2 linked regions of the Pelodiscus sinensis genome follow. The main gene of each other region encodes a partner of the protein of the gene in region 2 in a complex. Links are inferred from orthologs where the notes say so. Each region holds a gene or a part of one and is shown on either strand. Other genes may lie near its edges.

What was found.
Region 1: POLD2 (region 2) and REV3L share a complex: the UniProt entries of both Homo sapiens proteins name them as parts of the tetrameric Pol-zeta complex. The link is inferred for Pelodiscus sinensis from reciprocal best matches to the Homo sapiens genes POLD2 and REV3L.

Annotation. Positions count from the first base shown.
Region 1 is NC_134713.1:79,618,557-79,626,003, reverse strand, and holds the start of REV3L (DNA polymerase zeta catalytic subunit), read left to right. Parts: upstream 1-4,442; 5' UTR 4,443-4,739; coding exon 4,740-4,878; intron 4,879-7,447. UniProt on the Homo sapiens protein: Catalytic subunit of the DNA polymerase zeta complex, an error-prone polymerase specialized in translesion DNA synthesis (TLS). Lacks an intrinsic 3'-5' exonuclease activity and thus has no proofreading function.
Region 2 is NC_134738.1:4,461,618-4,469,178, reverse strand, and holds the start of POLD2 (DNA polymerase delta subunit 2), read left to right. Parts: upstream 1-4,559; 5' UTR 4,560-4,718; intron 4,719-5,276; 5' UTR 5,277-5,320; coding exon 5,321-5,540; intron 5,541-7,561. UniProt on the Homo sapiens protein: Accessory component of both the DNA polymerase delta complex and the DNA polymerase zeta complex.

The DNA of each region.
Region 1 (7,447 bases), on a different chromosome or scaffold from region 2:
GAGCATCCATGCCAGTGTAGATGCTCTCTTGCGCAAGAAAGCTCTGATGGCCATTTTAACCATAGAGTTTTCTTGCGCAAGAAATTCATGTTGCCTGTCTACACTGGCCTCTTGCGCAAGAACAGTTGCGCAAAAGGGCTTATTCCTGAGTGGGAGCATCAGAGTTCTGGCGCAAGAAGCCCTGATTTCATACATTAGAACGTCAGTTTACTTGAGCAAGAACACGCGTACAGTGTAGACAGGTAGCAAGTTTTTGCATAAGAGCGGCCACTTTTGCGCAAGATCGCGCCAGTGTAGACACAGCCTCAATGTTTAAGATGCCATAGAACTCCTCATTGATTCTGCAGATACAGACTTAATATGGCCTCCCTCTGATACTTGTTAATATAGATGATAAAAGCTATGTAATTATTACTGACTTGTCTTTTTTGCTTGCCTAATATTCTGAAGATTTTCTTCTATCATCTACCACCAGTGATGCCTGTCTCAACTATATAACATGCACTTAATCACTTTAACTTACTCAAAGTTTTTTCATCAAGGACTCATTTTAACTCACTCAGTCCCTACACATTGGTGTCATTATTCTGTTGGCTATAATGTATGCATACATGCTATACAAGGCTTAAAATATATGCATTAATGTATAATAATTTGTTTCCCTCTAGTTTACTATATCAGGTTCCCTCATTCCAAATCAGCTTTTAAATAAAAGGAGAAATTGTTACACACCCACATTTTAATAGTAGTTGTTCTTTCCCCCCCATTTTGGGTGATATTTTTATGAATATTATGTGCTTTGAACATCTCTAGTTCATTACCCTCTGTGGTCTGGATGACCATTTATCATGGGCATGGCCAACTTTCCCACAGTCCCATAAAGTTTGTTTACAGCCACAAGACCTGGCTCTCAGTGTTCTGTGCTATTATTTAGCTCTAATTTATCCCTAAATGGCTTGTAAGAGCCCAGTAAGAAGTGGAAGTGTTGATAATGCTGCTAGACAATACTGACCTCCCGTGGTTCAACAAATTCGCTGGTACAACACTGGTCAGGCACATTGTTGCTGCGTCTCTCAGAAGTCTCTGAAGCTGGCTCCCTGCATATACCTGCTACCATCTGCCCTTCCATGCTGCTGCCTCTAATACAGAGGCAGCAGCATTGGGGGGGGGGGCGGGGAGAGGAAGGAAGGAGGTGTGTGTGTGTGGGTGGGTGTGAGAGAGAGATCCACAGGAGAATGTGAACAGGGAGCCATCTTAAGACTGGGCAATGCCCATTTTGCTTGCAAGGTCTGATCAGGGGATGTTCTAAAAGCATGCTTAATTCCACACAAAATTGGCCAGTGGGGAGAAGAGGCAATGGCAGCAGGAACCATTAACCTAGTGGTTAAAAAAAAAAAAAACTTAAGAGCTGGAAACTGGTTCAACTCTTCCCCCGCCCTGCCCATGCCCTGCCCAAGAAAAGAAAGATTTCCCACCTCCTAGGTAATCAAGTGATCCATCTCCTTGAGACAACGAATATAGAAGCAGCCTGAAAAAATCCATCCAAGATGTGCCAGCTTGAGGGAGGGAAAAGCCTGCTCTTAAGTTTAAATCTAAAACCAAAACATACACATATTCAGTGGCAGTGGACAGCATGGCTGTGTCTAGACTGGCCAGTCGACTATCCAATAAGAACATAAGAACAGCCGTACTGGGTCAGACCAAAGGTCCTTCTAGCCCAGTATCCTGTCTGCCAACAGTGGCCAGCACCGGGTGAGGGTGGACCAAAGACAATAATCAAGCGATTTGTCTCCTGCCATCTCTCTCCAGCCTCTGACAAACAGAGGCCAAGGACACCATTTTATCTCCTGGCTAATAGCCTTTTATGGACCTAACCTCCATGAAATTATCTAGCTTCTCTTTATAACTTTTTTATTGTAGTCCTAGCCTTCATAGCCTCCTCTGGCAAGGAGTTCCACAGGTTGACTACACACTGTGTGAAGAACTTTCTTTTATTAGTTTTAAACCTGCTACCCATTAATTTCATTTGGTGTCCTCTAGTTCTTCTATTTAAGGAACTAATAAATAACTTTTCTTTATCGGCCCTCTCCACACCACTCATGATTTTATAGACCTCTATCATATCCCTCCTCAGTCTCCTCTTTTCTAAACTGAAAAGTCTCAGTCACTTTAACCTCTCCTCATATGGGACCCGTTCCAAACCCCTAATCATTTTAATAAGAATTTGCAAATGCTTATCGAATAGTCAACAGGCTAGTCGACTACTTGCTTCCTCCCCCCTTGCTGCCTTTATCAGAGAGGCAGCAAGGGGGGTGAAAAAAGAGGGGGTGCTTCAAATTGGCAGCACTGTATGAAGCCTCGGGTGAGGGGGGAGTTCCTAGCTGACCCCGGGCTCCATGTGATGCTGCCACTTTGAAATGCTGTGGGGAGCATGGGGCCAGTGGGGGACTGTTGGGAGTCCCCTGCTGGCCCCATGCTCCCTGCAGCACTTTTGCCTTTGAAGTGTAGCAACAGCCCTGGGGCTGGCTGTTGCTACACTTCAAAGGCGGAAGTATCCTTATTGACTAGCTGAATAGTCAATGCAAATTGCATTGACTATTCAACTAGCCAAATAATCGAAATTTTATATCTCTATATTTAAAGGGCTAGCAACTCCTGAAACTAGGGATGTTAAATTTTTTTTAATCAAGTAGTTGATGGAAGATTAATCAGAAAGGAGGGTGCTGGCTATCCAGCTAAGCCTCTCCCTTTGAAATGTACCAGAATGGCCAGGGCTCCGGAACATTTCAAAGGGAGAGGTGCAGCAGTAGGAACATCTTTGCCCCCCACGGAGACAGTGCACTGGCTCCTACTCCCCCCACCTTGCTGCCTCTCTTTGATAGAGGCAGCAAGTGTGTGTGTGTGGGGGGGAAGGGGGGACAGAAAGATGATGTGTAGACGACTAGTCACTTTAACTTACATCCCTACTAGGGACAGTGGAGTGTGTGAAGTCTCCTCACCCGCCAGTGGCACATGGCGCTGAACAAGCTGGTGGTTCTCTAAGCACTGTATGCCCCTGGCGGTGGGGCGGAGGGGCTAAGACTTCACATGCTCCTTCAACCCCAGGTCAATCAGGCTGGTGAAGTACCCTGGCACCACCCCTTCCAGGGCAGCCTGTGACCACTTCAGAAATCCCCAAATGTCCCCTATTTCAAAAGTTACTGCCCACTTAGTTTAGATACTGTATTTACATCTGATTTCATAGAATTCCTTTATCTTTCAGTCGAAGCATATACGAGACAAAAATATGTCTATGAAACACACCCTTTTTACACAAGGATCTTCCCGGTGTTCCTTCTGATTTTTCCTATCTGGAATAATTTCTTATGTGCATCACCAGTAGAAACAAAACACCTAGCTCTGCCAATCAACTGGGCAGCATCTAAATCTGAGTGGCCACACAAGTGCACAGCTTACAGAGCACACTGATCTGGAGGGCTGTCTACTCATGTGGTATTTGGCTGTGGCTGAGATTTACGTTAAAACCCCCCAGCTCTTTAACACCCTTCCCATGTCTAGCTCAGGAACCAGAAAGCAGATACAGGAGCCTTAACTTCATTAAGGAAAACAGACTCGTGATTTTTAAGCCAATCTCACGACTGTGGTGCCCCCCCCCCGCGGGTTAGCAGCCCCCCTTTCCTGCTCTCTCCCGCCGAGGAAGACGGCTCCCTGGGACTGGTCGCCGCCCTAGGAGAGGCCCCTGTTGGACCAGGGAGGGGGGCGCGGGGCAAAGGGAGCCCACCCCCAAGCGTCCCCCCGCATCGCGCGGTGCCTGAGCGCCGCTCTCCCGGCTGCAGCGGGCTGCTGTAAAGGCGGCGGCGCGCACGAAGCGGGCAGTGGGGCGGGGAATGCTGCAGCCGGCAAGGGCGGCGCCGAAGCCCAGCCCCTGTCGCTCCTCTGCAGCGTGCAGCAGCCGCACCACAGCCCCTCCCTGCCGCCAGCGGCACGTTCCGCCGCCGCCGCCCTTTTATAGGCAGAGAATTGTGCTCGCCCCCCTCCCCCATTCCGTCGCCTGCGGGCCGCGCGCAGCGACCGTTACAGCCAAAGGGGGCGCACGCGACGGCTGAAACGTTACCTGAGAACTCCCGCTCCCCCTCCCCAGTCTCGTGCGTGACAGCGGCACGAGACTTCCCCTTCCCCCAGCAGCGGGCGGCTACTCACCTTCCCGCAGCCAGACGCCTCAGACTCCAAAATGGCGGCCCGCCCCAACCTAACCCAATCCTAGCCCGGGAGTCCCCAGCCCGATCCATGACTCGGCGCTCCGAAGCCTCGCCTAGGCGCTAGGATCGATTGTCGAGAAAGTGATCCCGCACGGCTTCCATTCCACTGCCCAGGGAGCGGAAAAAATACCACCCTGTACTGAAGCGCAGAAGGGGAGAAACGCATTCCCCCCGCCCGCCCCCATCTCCCCCCCCCCGGTGGTTGCGTCCGTGACATCATCATCATGGCAACAACAGCTGGAGCTGAGGAGCCGCCGCCGCCAAGGCATCCGCGCTGCCGAGGGAAGGGGCTGCTGTGCCCATGAGGCGCTCGCGGCCGGCCAGGCTCTAGAGCCAGCTTGGGCTGCTCCGTGCGCGCGTGTGTCCGTGTGCGCGCGGGCCGGCGGGGAGGGGGCTGCGCGCGCGGCGGTGGCGGCGGCGGGGGAGCCGTGTGGGCTCCGCGCTCGCTCAGTGCGTGGGTCGCTGTGGACGGCGGCGAACATGTTCTCAGTGAGGCTCGTGACCGCCGACTACTATATGGGCAGCCCGCTGCCCGGCCTGGACCCCGGCCAGTCCCGCTTCAGAGAGGCCCCGGCCAAGAAGGTGCCTGTGGTGAGAGTCTTCGGCGCCACCCCGGCAGGTAAGGGACGCTCGCCGCCTCTGCGGGGCCCCGCGGGCGCTAGGCCCGGGGACCAGCCCGCCACAGGGCTCGCTTTGTGATTCAGCCGCGGCGTGCGCCTCACCTGCCGCCGTCGCCGGCCTCGCCCCTCCCCCCACCCCCGCCCGGACCTCGCGGGAGCTGCGCCGGGTGATACCTGTCTGGAGCCGGCGGGGACCGCAGGGTCACCGTAGCCCGCGGCGCCTATGCGGCTCCCTCCAGGCTCCCGGAGCGGGGGCGGGGGGCGCTAAGAGCAGGATCTCGGGGTCTGCAGGTGCGAGGATGAGCAGGGAGGCTGGTGCCCAGGGGGAGCTGGAAATCGTTGCGTTCGCGCCGCTCACAGGGGAAGCTGCTCCCACACAGGCTCGCGGTGCGTGAATCACAACTAAGCACAGCTGTAAAAACACAGTGGGGTCTGCTCTGCTCCGGATAGAGATTTGTACGTAGCCCAGGCCGCCGTGCGGTGCTGGGGTTTGTGTCTTTAAAGAAAGAGACGCAGTTTTGGTGTGTGAATGGATAGGAGAAGAAAAATCATGCGTATCTTTGAGGAGGTGAATAGTGAATTAATTTATCAATGCTGTATCTTTAAAGTGCTCCCTAATACAGAGTCCCATACGTGAGACTTCTGCAACACTTGTGAAGTGGCTCTTTTTATGTCGCTGTTACGCTAGTATATTGTAAATTGCTCAGACCAATAGGCAATTGTGCTGCACTGCAGAAGGGAACGGCGTAACAACTAGCCACATGTTGGCCTCTGCGACTTCCTAATGCTACATCACATTCATTCTTTTTTGGTATTCAGCTATACTTATCATCACTGTATTTAATAGCCTGACAATTCCCAAGTACATCCTGCAAATAACATTCTCCTTACCCATATATTTTTTTTAAATATGGGTTCTCTTTATTGCAAGTTTTCAGTCCACAGTCATGATGAAAAAGGGTCTCCTGTCCATCAGTTGTTACAAACATTAGAGTATCTGTTCTCTAACTGTGGGTTGGGACCCCAAAGGTGGGTATTGACTCCATTTTAATGGGGTTGCTGGGGTTAGTTTAGACTTGCTGGTGCATGGGGTCAAAGTTGAAGCCTGAATCCCAGGACTGGTGCCAAAGTCGAAGGGCCTCAGCCTTAGGCAAAAGGGCTCAGGTTATAGGTCCTCGCCTGGGGCAGAAGGTCTCCACCTTCAGCTTTAGCTCCCCACCCAAAACAGTGGGGCTTGGGCTTTGCCTTTGCCTTCCCCCTCCAAGGCAGCTGGATTCAGTTTTCCATCTCCCCTCCTGGGGTTATATAATAATTTTTGTTGTCAGAATGGGATTGCAGTGGAATGGAGTTTCAGAACCCCTATTTTAGAGAATATTGAAATAGATGTTTGTGTTGTATGATGCTGATCTTGGAAATTAATGCATTTATGCGTTTTACAGATTTGTGTGCTATAGGCAGAGTTTTTAATGTACACTTTTATCATTAGGGAGGGGAGAAACTGCAGTAAAAGTGTATTTATTAGGCGTCTCCTACTACTAGTAGGCTGTGTCTACATTGGCAAGATTTTGCGCAAAATCTTGCCGCCTGTCTACACTGGCCGCGAGTATTTGCGCAAGAACACTGATCTTTTACTGTATGAAATCAGTGCTTCTTGCGCAAATACTCTGACGCTCCCGCTCAGGGATAAGTCCTCTTGCGCAAGTGTTCTTGCGCAAGAGGCCAGTGTAGACAGGTAACACCAATTTCTTACGCAAGAAAGCCCGATGGCTAAAATGGCCATCGGAGCTTTCTTCCACAAGAGAGTTTCTATACTGGCACAGATGTGTTTGTGCAAAAGCAAATCTTTTGCGCAAAGGCACATGCCAGTATAGACACTCTCTTGCGCAAATACTTTTAACGGGAAAAACTTTTCCGTTAAAAGTATTTGTGCAAAATCATGCCAGTGTAGATGCAACCGTATAATATAGACATTTTTATTCATATTTGAAACTCCAGTGTTCTCTTTTCTGAATCATCTTCAGGTTCAGAGGATGGTAAGGTAATTGCACCAGTTTGCATCTGCTTCATCTAAAACTCAAAACTATCAAGTAGATAGCATATTATACAGGATTTAAATCCATACTAACTAGTTAAACTATAGGTTTAATTGGTTAACTGCCTACAGTGTGGTGGGCCTGGCAGGGGCTTCTCTGGCCAGGCTGGGCTGAAGCCGTATCTCCCCCCTGCCCCCATGGTATCCTGCAGGCAGGGGCTGCTTTGGCTGGGCCTGGCCTCTTGTTAATTCTTTACCCCAGTAAGCATGCTGGTAAAGCTGTGCTTACTCAGTAACCAATTAAACCTTTACATCCTCAGTAGATAGGTTAATGCGCAAAACAGCTGATATAATATAGCAACACCTCTTCGGTTGTAATATGCTTTTTGCATACATTCAGTGCTGCTTATTTTTTGCCATCATAAAATCTGTTAAATACCATAAATTTCAATAGTTTTCAAATGACATTTGATAGAGGGAATAGTATTTGAGAAAATAATTATGTAATCCTATGAGTAATTGTTTCATTATTCATA
Region 2 (7,561 bases):
CCCAGGTTTCATGCTGGGTTCATGCTCACCCCCACCTGTGGCCCCAGCCTCAGCTGCTTTTTCCCCGTCCAGGGCCCCCTTCCCAGAGACACGGGCCTGCTCCCGCCCCAGCCTGGGGGACACTGACAGGGGGATAATGGGGCTGGCTTCCAGAACCCCCACTCTGGGATGCCAACGGGGGAGGCCAAAGGGGAACAGCTGCCCCAGGGCCCAGCAATTTAAAAGGGCCTTTAAATTGCCCCAGGAACTCCATGCAGCGTGCTGGGGGCTGGGTGGGGGAGGCTAGCCCCTCAACCCTGCCCCTTCTTAGGGGCCTGGACCCGAGCCCCTCTCCAGCTCGCCCCCGGCTCAGCGAAGTCTGTCGCCAGCCCTGTCCCTGAGCGGGGCGTCTCCTCTGCTGTGCTCCGAAAGGAGCAGCTGCCATTTCTGGGGTCAACAAAGTTGTTTCTCTTGCTCACGCCCCAAGTGCGCTGCTTGACCAGCTGGTACGCGAGGCACTGGGCACTGAGCTGCCTGTAGGTCCCGGAGGAGCCCAGAGAGCAGCCCCTGCGGCAGAGCCAGGCTCAGGTAGACGCGCTGCGTCCAGCCCAGCAGGAGTGGCGGGGAGCGTGCCTCCTTCCTCACTAGCCAGCCGGGCCACCGAGACCTGGCTTCACACCCAGCTAGGCAGGGAGCTTCCCACACCCCTCCCAGCTGAGCTGCTTTGCACAGCACCAGAGAGCCTGGTTTTAAAGGAAAAACTTCAAAACCAACGAACGGTCGGGCAGCACCTTACAGACTCACCAAACCCACAGCTGGGATCGTGAGCCTGGGTGGGTACGACCCACTTCTCCAGGTGCACGGAGCTTGAAACGTCCCGCTCCAAACCAGATAGGGGGTGGGGGGAAATAGCGATTTCGAGTGTTCATGTTCCATGAAGCACAGGACCTTCCGCATCCTAACGACTTAAAACCAGCCAATGGGCACGTAAGAGCAATTTGCACCTTCTCTGTCACCTTCCCACTCACCAGCGGTTCGCGCCCTGGTAACTGCTGCTCTTTAGGGTGCTACGGGAGGAGGTGTTTGTGCCCCTCAAACCGGGGTTTGTTAGCGGCCAGCAGCTGCCTGGAGGTGTCAGCTCAGCTGCCTTTCTATGGGAAAGGACAAGCTGCTTCTAGCCACAGAGAGGAGCCAGGTGTTGGGGTGGAGGGGTGATCTGTGCAAACACATGGGCCAAGTCATTTCTGCCTCCCACCCCCACCCTCTGTGGCTGGAAACTGTTCCCGTCCCTTCCCTCCTACGCAGGGCTGAAAGGCTGCTGCTGGCCACGTCCTGCTGCAAACCCCCACAGATATGGGGGGGGAGGAGCCTGTGACCCTGCATGCCCCTCACATGTGGAGCTGAGCAGACGCAGCACCGGGGAGGGGCTGGCCCGGGGCCCAGCCAGGCATGGAGGGCAGAGAGCTCTGGGCAGGGAGGGTCGGGTCCGGTCGGCTGCCCCCCACCCCCACGTGAGAGAGGTGCAGGGGAGCGTGTGTGGGCAAGCCTTACCGAGAAGGCGCAAACAAGGCTCCCATGGCTGGCCATGGCTTTGTCACGGGGGCGCAGGTAACGGGATGATACAGACAGACATCATCTTTCTATCCAAGTAACGGGATGTGACTTTGAACGCCAGCGCTGCCGAGTTCCTGGCCATTTGACAGGAGACGGGACCCAGCAGGGAGCTAGTCAGCAGGCAGCCTCCCGCCTGAGACAGGACACCGGTTCCAAGGCCTGATGGTTTGTGACTCTTTGGTCAAAATGTTAACCTCATTCCCCGTATGCGTTTGTGAAACTTCCCACCCTTGGGTGGTGCCAGACCCGCCCCCGCTAAGCCAAAGCGCCTGGGTTTTGTATTTGTACCCTGTGTAGGTATTGACAGATCAAGTCACCCCTTGACCCAGTGATGACTGCTGGGGAGGGATTTGGGGGACACTGGTCATGTGACTGACCCATGCGACTCCTCCCCACGCCACCCTTAGCCCAGGCGAGGGTCCCGCCTCTTCCTGCCGCTGCCCCCTACTCCACCTCTTCACCCAAGCCCCTGTCCCTGCTCTGCCCCTCCTCCACCCCGTCCCTGCCTCTTCTCACCCTTACTCTGCGCCCCCTGGTCCCCACTACACCTTTCCCCCAAGTCCCCTTCCTTGAGGGATGCAGCCAGTAGTCTTTCAAGGGGCCTGCAGCAGAAATCGCCCCCCAACCTGCACTACCCGGGCCCAACCCCCTCCGCTGTCTCCCAGCCACATCACCCTGCTTTCTGCCACCGCAGGTGAGTAGGGGTGGGGCCAGTCCCTGCTCTGGGGCCAGGTCCCTCACTAGTTCCCTGCGCATGGGGCCTAGGACTGTTGGACGAACTGTCCAGCTCTGCCCGCTAGCTACTGGCCCCTTGCCTCTCCCCTCCCACGGCACTGGGGGCACATGCCCCTTCCTGCCCTGCCCCACCCTTTGATAACTGCATGGGGGGAGGGCTAGCTCAGTGGCTTGAGCAGTGGCTTGCTAAACCCAGAGTTGTGAGTTTAACCATTTAGGGCAAAAATGTATCAGGGATGGTACTTGGTCCTGCTGTGAAGGCAGGGGACTGGACTTGATGACCTTCCAAGGTCCCTTCCAGCTCTAGGAGATAGACAATCTCCATTATTATTATAAGCTAAACAGATGGAGCTCCCTGAGCCTCTGGCTCTAAGGCAGGATTTCTAAGGCTGCATCTACAGGCCTCACCATAGTACGGCTGTGCTGTGCTGTGCTTCTGGACGCTCTGGGCATAATTCAAGCCGTCACTGCGTAGGTGGGAGATCGTCTCCCCCAGACAGAGCGTTCCCCGCTCCGGCGCTTTGTTTGGCAAAACTCACCCCGACCGACAAAACTTTTACCCACCAAGGGCTGGTGTAGACAAGGGCCAATCCTTGAGCCATGCTCACAGTGTGACATAGTGTGGGTACCTTGCTGGTTGCTATGCTGGGTGGTGGGCTGTGGGTGACCCCCACTGGCTGCTGGCTGCAGCACGGCCCAGCAGGGCAGGGGATGAGTCATTATGCAAGGGGCTCCCAACCTGTCCGACCAGTTACCTCCCAGGGAGCGGAACAAGGGAAAGGAGGGTGAGGTCACCCCTGGCTGGGGGGCAGGACTGGAGGAGAGTCAGGTAGTTGCTGTCTGGGATCATGGAGGAGACAGCCTAGGGAAGAGGCTGGGATTTAGGGGCCCAGTCTCCCCCATCTCAAGGGGGGCTGAGGCATCCTAGGCCTGCCTGGAACCAGATAACATCTGTGCTGTGCTGTACTCTGGAGAAGCAATAAACACCCTCTATTCGACTGGCTGGTGGAGTCTGTTCATGCCACTACGGGGGTGCAGGAGGTGGGGGAACCCCAATGCACCATCACACATGGCTTTTCTCTGCCCCTGCTCCAATCCACCAACTCCCTTCTCAAACTCAGTCTGCACCAGCCTACAGCGTCTGCTGCTCCGGGCAGCTCAGGAGCTCCCCGGGGAATGCCCAGCACAGAACCTCCCAGCAGTGGAGATGGGCTACCCAGAGCTCTTTGACCCTCCTTTACAGATGGGGCTTAGGGCCTTCGAATCCGCGGGGTGTGTCCCCGCTCAGCCCTGGCTCACACGTCTCCTTTGCACTAACACTTGTCTTCCTTCCCCTGGCGGGTGAGACCCCGAGCTGGCGTATGGCTCGGTGGGTACTGTCTGCAGGAGGAAGGCTTCCCCCCAGACAGCAGAGCGGGGGCAGCAAGTGATGCTTTTCACACCTGCCGACAGCTCCTCCCTGTGGGCAGGAAACTCGTGTTTCTTCTCGGTAGGAAGTGGCTGAGAGCAGCTGCGAGCTCTGTACACGTCAGCACTGGAAATTCACACTCCCCCAACCCCGCCCCCACCTCAGCAGTGCGAGGAAATCTCCCAGCCCCACGGCGCTGTAGCGGGGCTAGGAACGGGGAGGGGGGGAAGGTCCCGGTTGGGGGGCAGTAGCGGGGCCAGGAACAGGGGGGGGGCAGGTCCCGGTTGGGGGGCAGTAGCGGGGCCAGGAACAGGGGGGGGGCAGGTCCCGGTTGGGGGGCAGTAGCGGGGCCAGGAACGGGGGGGGGGGGGGCAGGTCCCGGTTGGGGGGCAGTAGCGGGGCCAGGAACGGGGAGGGGGGAAGGTCCCGGTTGGGGGGCAGTAGCGGGGCCAGGAACAGGGGGGGGCAGGTCCCGGTTGGGGGGCAGTAGCAGGGCCAGGAACAGGGGGGGGCAGGTCCCGGTTGGGGGGCAGTAGCGGGGCCAGGAACGGGGGGGGGCAGGTCCCGGTTGGGGGGCAGTAGCGGGGCCAGGAACGGGGGGGGGCAGGTCCCGGTTGGGGGGCAGTAGCGGGGCCAGGAACGGGGGGGGGCAGGTCCCGGTTGGGGGGCAGTAGCGGGAGGGGAGGAGGGGGCGGGGCTAGGGGGCGGAGCCGTGTGGGGCAGGGGGCGGAGCCCGGTTCCCCCAGCACCGCCCCCCATGGCCCCACCTGCGCAGCCCGGAGCCCCGCCCCCTAGCGGCGTTGCTGGTTTCCCGGGAGACGCCAAGCGCCCTCCTACGTCAGTTCCGCTCGGCCTCTCTGTTTCCGGTTTACGGCATTGGCGCCTTTTCTGTGGCGGGAACTGCTGCTGGGCGCCGACTGTGACCTCTGACCTCCTACGGCTGACCCCTGACCCCGGCTGGGACTTGGGGGGGCTCCGGCAGGTTCGTCAGCGCCCCAGAAACTCGGGGCGGCCGGGGCGTCACGTGTCCCCCAGGGGGTGGGGAATCGTGGGCGCTGGAAGGGGCACGTGTCCCCGGGGGGGGGCGCTGGAAGGGGCACGTGTCCCGGGGGGGGGCGCTGGAAGGGGCACGTGTCCCCGGGGGGGGGCGCTGGAAGGGACACGTGTCCCCGGGGGGGGGCGCTGGAAGGGGCACGTGTCCCCGGGGGGGGGGGGGCGCTGGAAGGGGCACGTGTCCCCGGGGGGGGGGCGCTGGAAGGGGCACGTGTCCCCGGGGGGGGGTGCGCTGGAAGGGGCACGTGTCCCCGGGGGGGGCGCTGGAAGGGGCACGTGTCCCCGGGGGGGGGCGCTGGAAGGGGCACGTGTCCCCGGGGGGGGGGCGCTGGAAGGGGCACGTGTCCCCGGAGGGGGGGGCGCTGGAAGGGGCACGTGTCCCCGGGGGGGGCGCTGGAAGGGGCAGTGTGGCGCTAGTAGCCATGGAGCAGGTGGGGGGGCAGCTAGCGGGGGGGCCCATAGTAACAGGCCCGTGTCCTCTTGGCAGGTGGAGAGTTGTTGGCCCTGCCGGGAGCCCCGCGGGCGCCAGCCATGTTCTCGGAGCGGGCGGCTCCCACTGCACAGAGCCTGCTGGCGCCGCCGTCCACGGAGGCCTCCACGTTCGCCAGAGTGCCCGTGTCCACCTACGCGAACTGCTCCCAGCACTTCCGGCTGGCGGAGCGCAGCTTTAATCGCCAGTATGCCCACATCTACGCCACTCGCCTCGTTCAGATGAGACCCCTCCTGCTGGAGAGAGCCCGGCAGAAATGGGGTGAGTTCCTTCCCTCCTAGGCGAGGAGTACATTCTCAGACCAGTATCTGCCTGCCCTTCTTAACATATGCGCAACGTGCGTCCGACGGCATGTGGTCAGGCTCCTTTCCAAATCTGGACCACTGGTTGGATCACTAGTTTCCCTGGCTTTGGCCAGGTATGATGGGGAGTGTTTGCACAGAGCGTGCACACTGATCCATGCCCTTCACTGCCTACCCTGGAACCTGCTTTTGGACAATGAGTGAAACCAACTGAGAGTGAATCTCAGTATTGTATTTCACTTGCCAGGTTGCAGGGGGAAACTGGTGTGTCTGCTGAGAAGCCATGTGCTGTGTCTTTGATTTTTGAAGGATACAAAGAACTGTTTCTAAGCAAAACAAAAAACAATATTCCTAGTAACTGAAGCCTCAGGACATTTTGTTAGTTCCTAGGTAACACTTTGTCTGCCCTGAATTCCAGCCCTGCTCCTGTCAGGTTAGGGACTTGCTCCAAAGGGTTAGCATGTCTACAATGTCTGGGTGGGAAAACATCTACCATTGCCAAGCAGTGACTCTGGCTTGGAAAACCTTCCATTGGGCTCAGAGAAAAGGAGGCATGTGTTTCGGAAACAAAAGTTTCATTCAGGTAGCATTAAGAGTCTGAGATGGGCACTCCGTGGCCAGGAAGGAATGTCGCTGAGTTTGTCTCCAGCAGAGAATGAGACGTGTGAGCGAGAGGCTACATAGGGTTGAGGACTGCGGGTTGAAGGAGTCATCTTGCTCTTGGTCTCTGAATTGCTGTTTATTGATGGAATTACTGTACCTGAATTGGTTTCCTTCTGAACGTGTAACTGCTGTGGAGCGTGGCCATGAAACGTTGTGCAATAGTGTAACTGGCAGGTACCTTCCTTATTGCGTGATTTGAGGCAAGAGCTGCAGATGCCAGAACTCACTGGCTAAAGATAAATACCTGGCTCCTTTTCGGAAGGTTCTGGCCCAAGGGTGACTCTGTCATAGCTAGGAGAACATGAGAAATGGAAGGACCAAACCAAAGGACCAGAATACAGCCAAGACTAATTGGTTTTTAAAGAGTCTCATAACATGCATAAAAACATAAAGGCTGTGTCTAGACTGGCCAGTTTTTCCGGAAAATCAGCCACTTTTCCGGAAAAACTTGCCAGCTGTCTACACTGGCCGCTTGAATTTCCGCAAAAGCATTGACGATCTCATGTAAGAAATCAGTGCTTGCGGAAATACTATTCTGCTCCCGATCAGGCAAAAGTCCCTTTTGTGCAAAGCTTTGCGCAAAGGGGCCAGTGTAGACAGCTCAGATTTGTTTTGCGCAAAAAAGCCCCGGTCGCGAAAATGGCGATTGGGGCTTTTTTGCGGAAAAGCGCGTCTAGATTGGCCACGGACGCTTTTCCGCAAAAAGTGCTTTTGTGGAAAAGCGTCTGTGCCAATCTAGACGCTCTGTTCTGAAAATGCTTTTAATGGAAAACTTTTCAGTTAAAAGCATTTCCGGAAAATCATGCCAATCTAGACGCAGCCAAGAGCGGCCTCACCAGGTCATATCAGTGATCCATCTCGCCCAGCGTCCTGTCTTCTGACAGTGGCCAATGCCAGGGGCTCCACAGGGAGGGGACAGAACAGGGAATCGCTAAGTGAGCCCTCTCCTGTCACCCATTCCCAGCTTCTGATAAACCGAGGCCAGGGTCACCCTCCCTGCCCAGCCTGGCTAACAGCCATTGGTGAATCTGTCCTCCATGAATTTAGCTCTTTATTTAAAAAATCCTGTTAAAGTCCTGGTCTTCATAAAATCCTCTGGCAAGGAGTCCCGCAGATTGACTGTGCTGCGCGAAGAAATACCTCCTTTTAAACCTGCTACCTATTCATTTCTTTGGGTGACCCCTAGTTCTTGTGTTGTGGGAACAAGTAAATAACTTTTCCTTCTTTGCTTTTTCCGCAACAATCATGATTTTACAGCCCTCTATCATATCTCCCCCCCCTTAGTCTCCTCTTTTCTAAGCTGGAAAGCCCCAATGT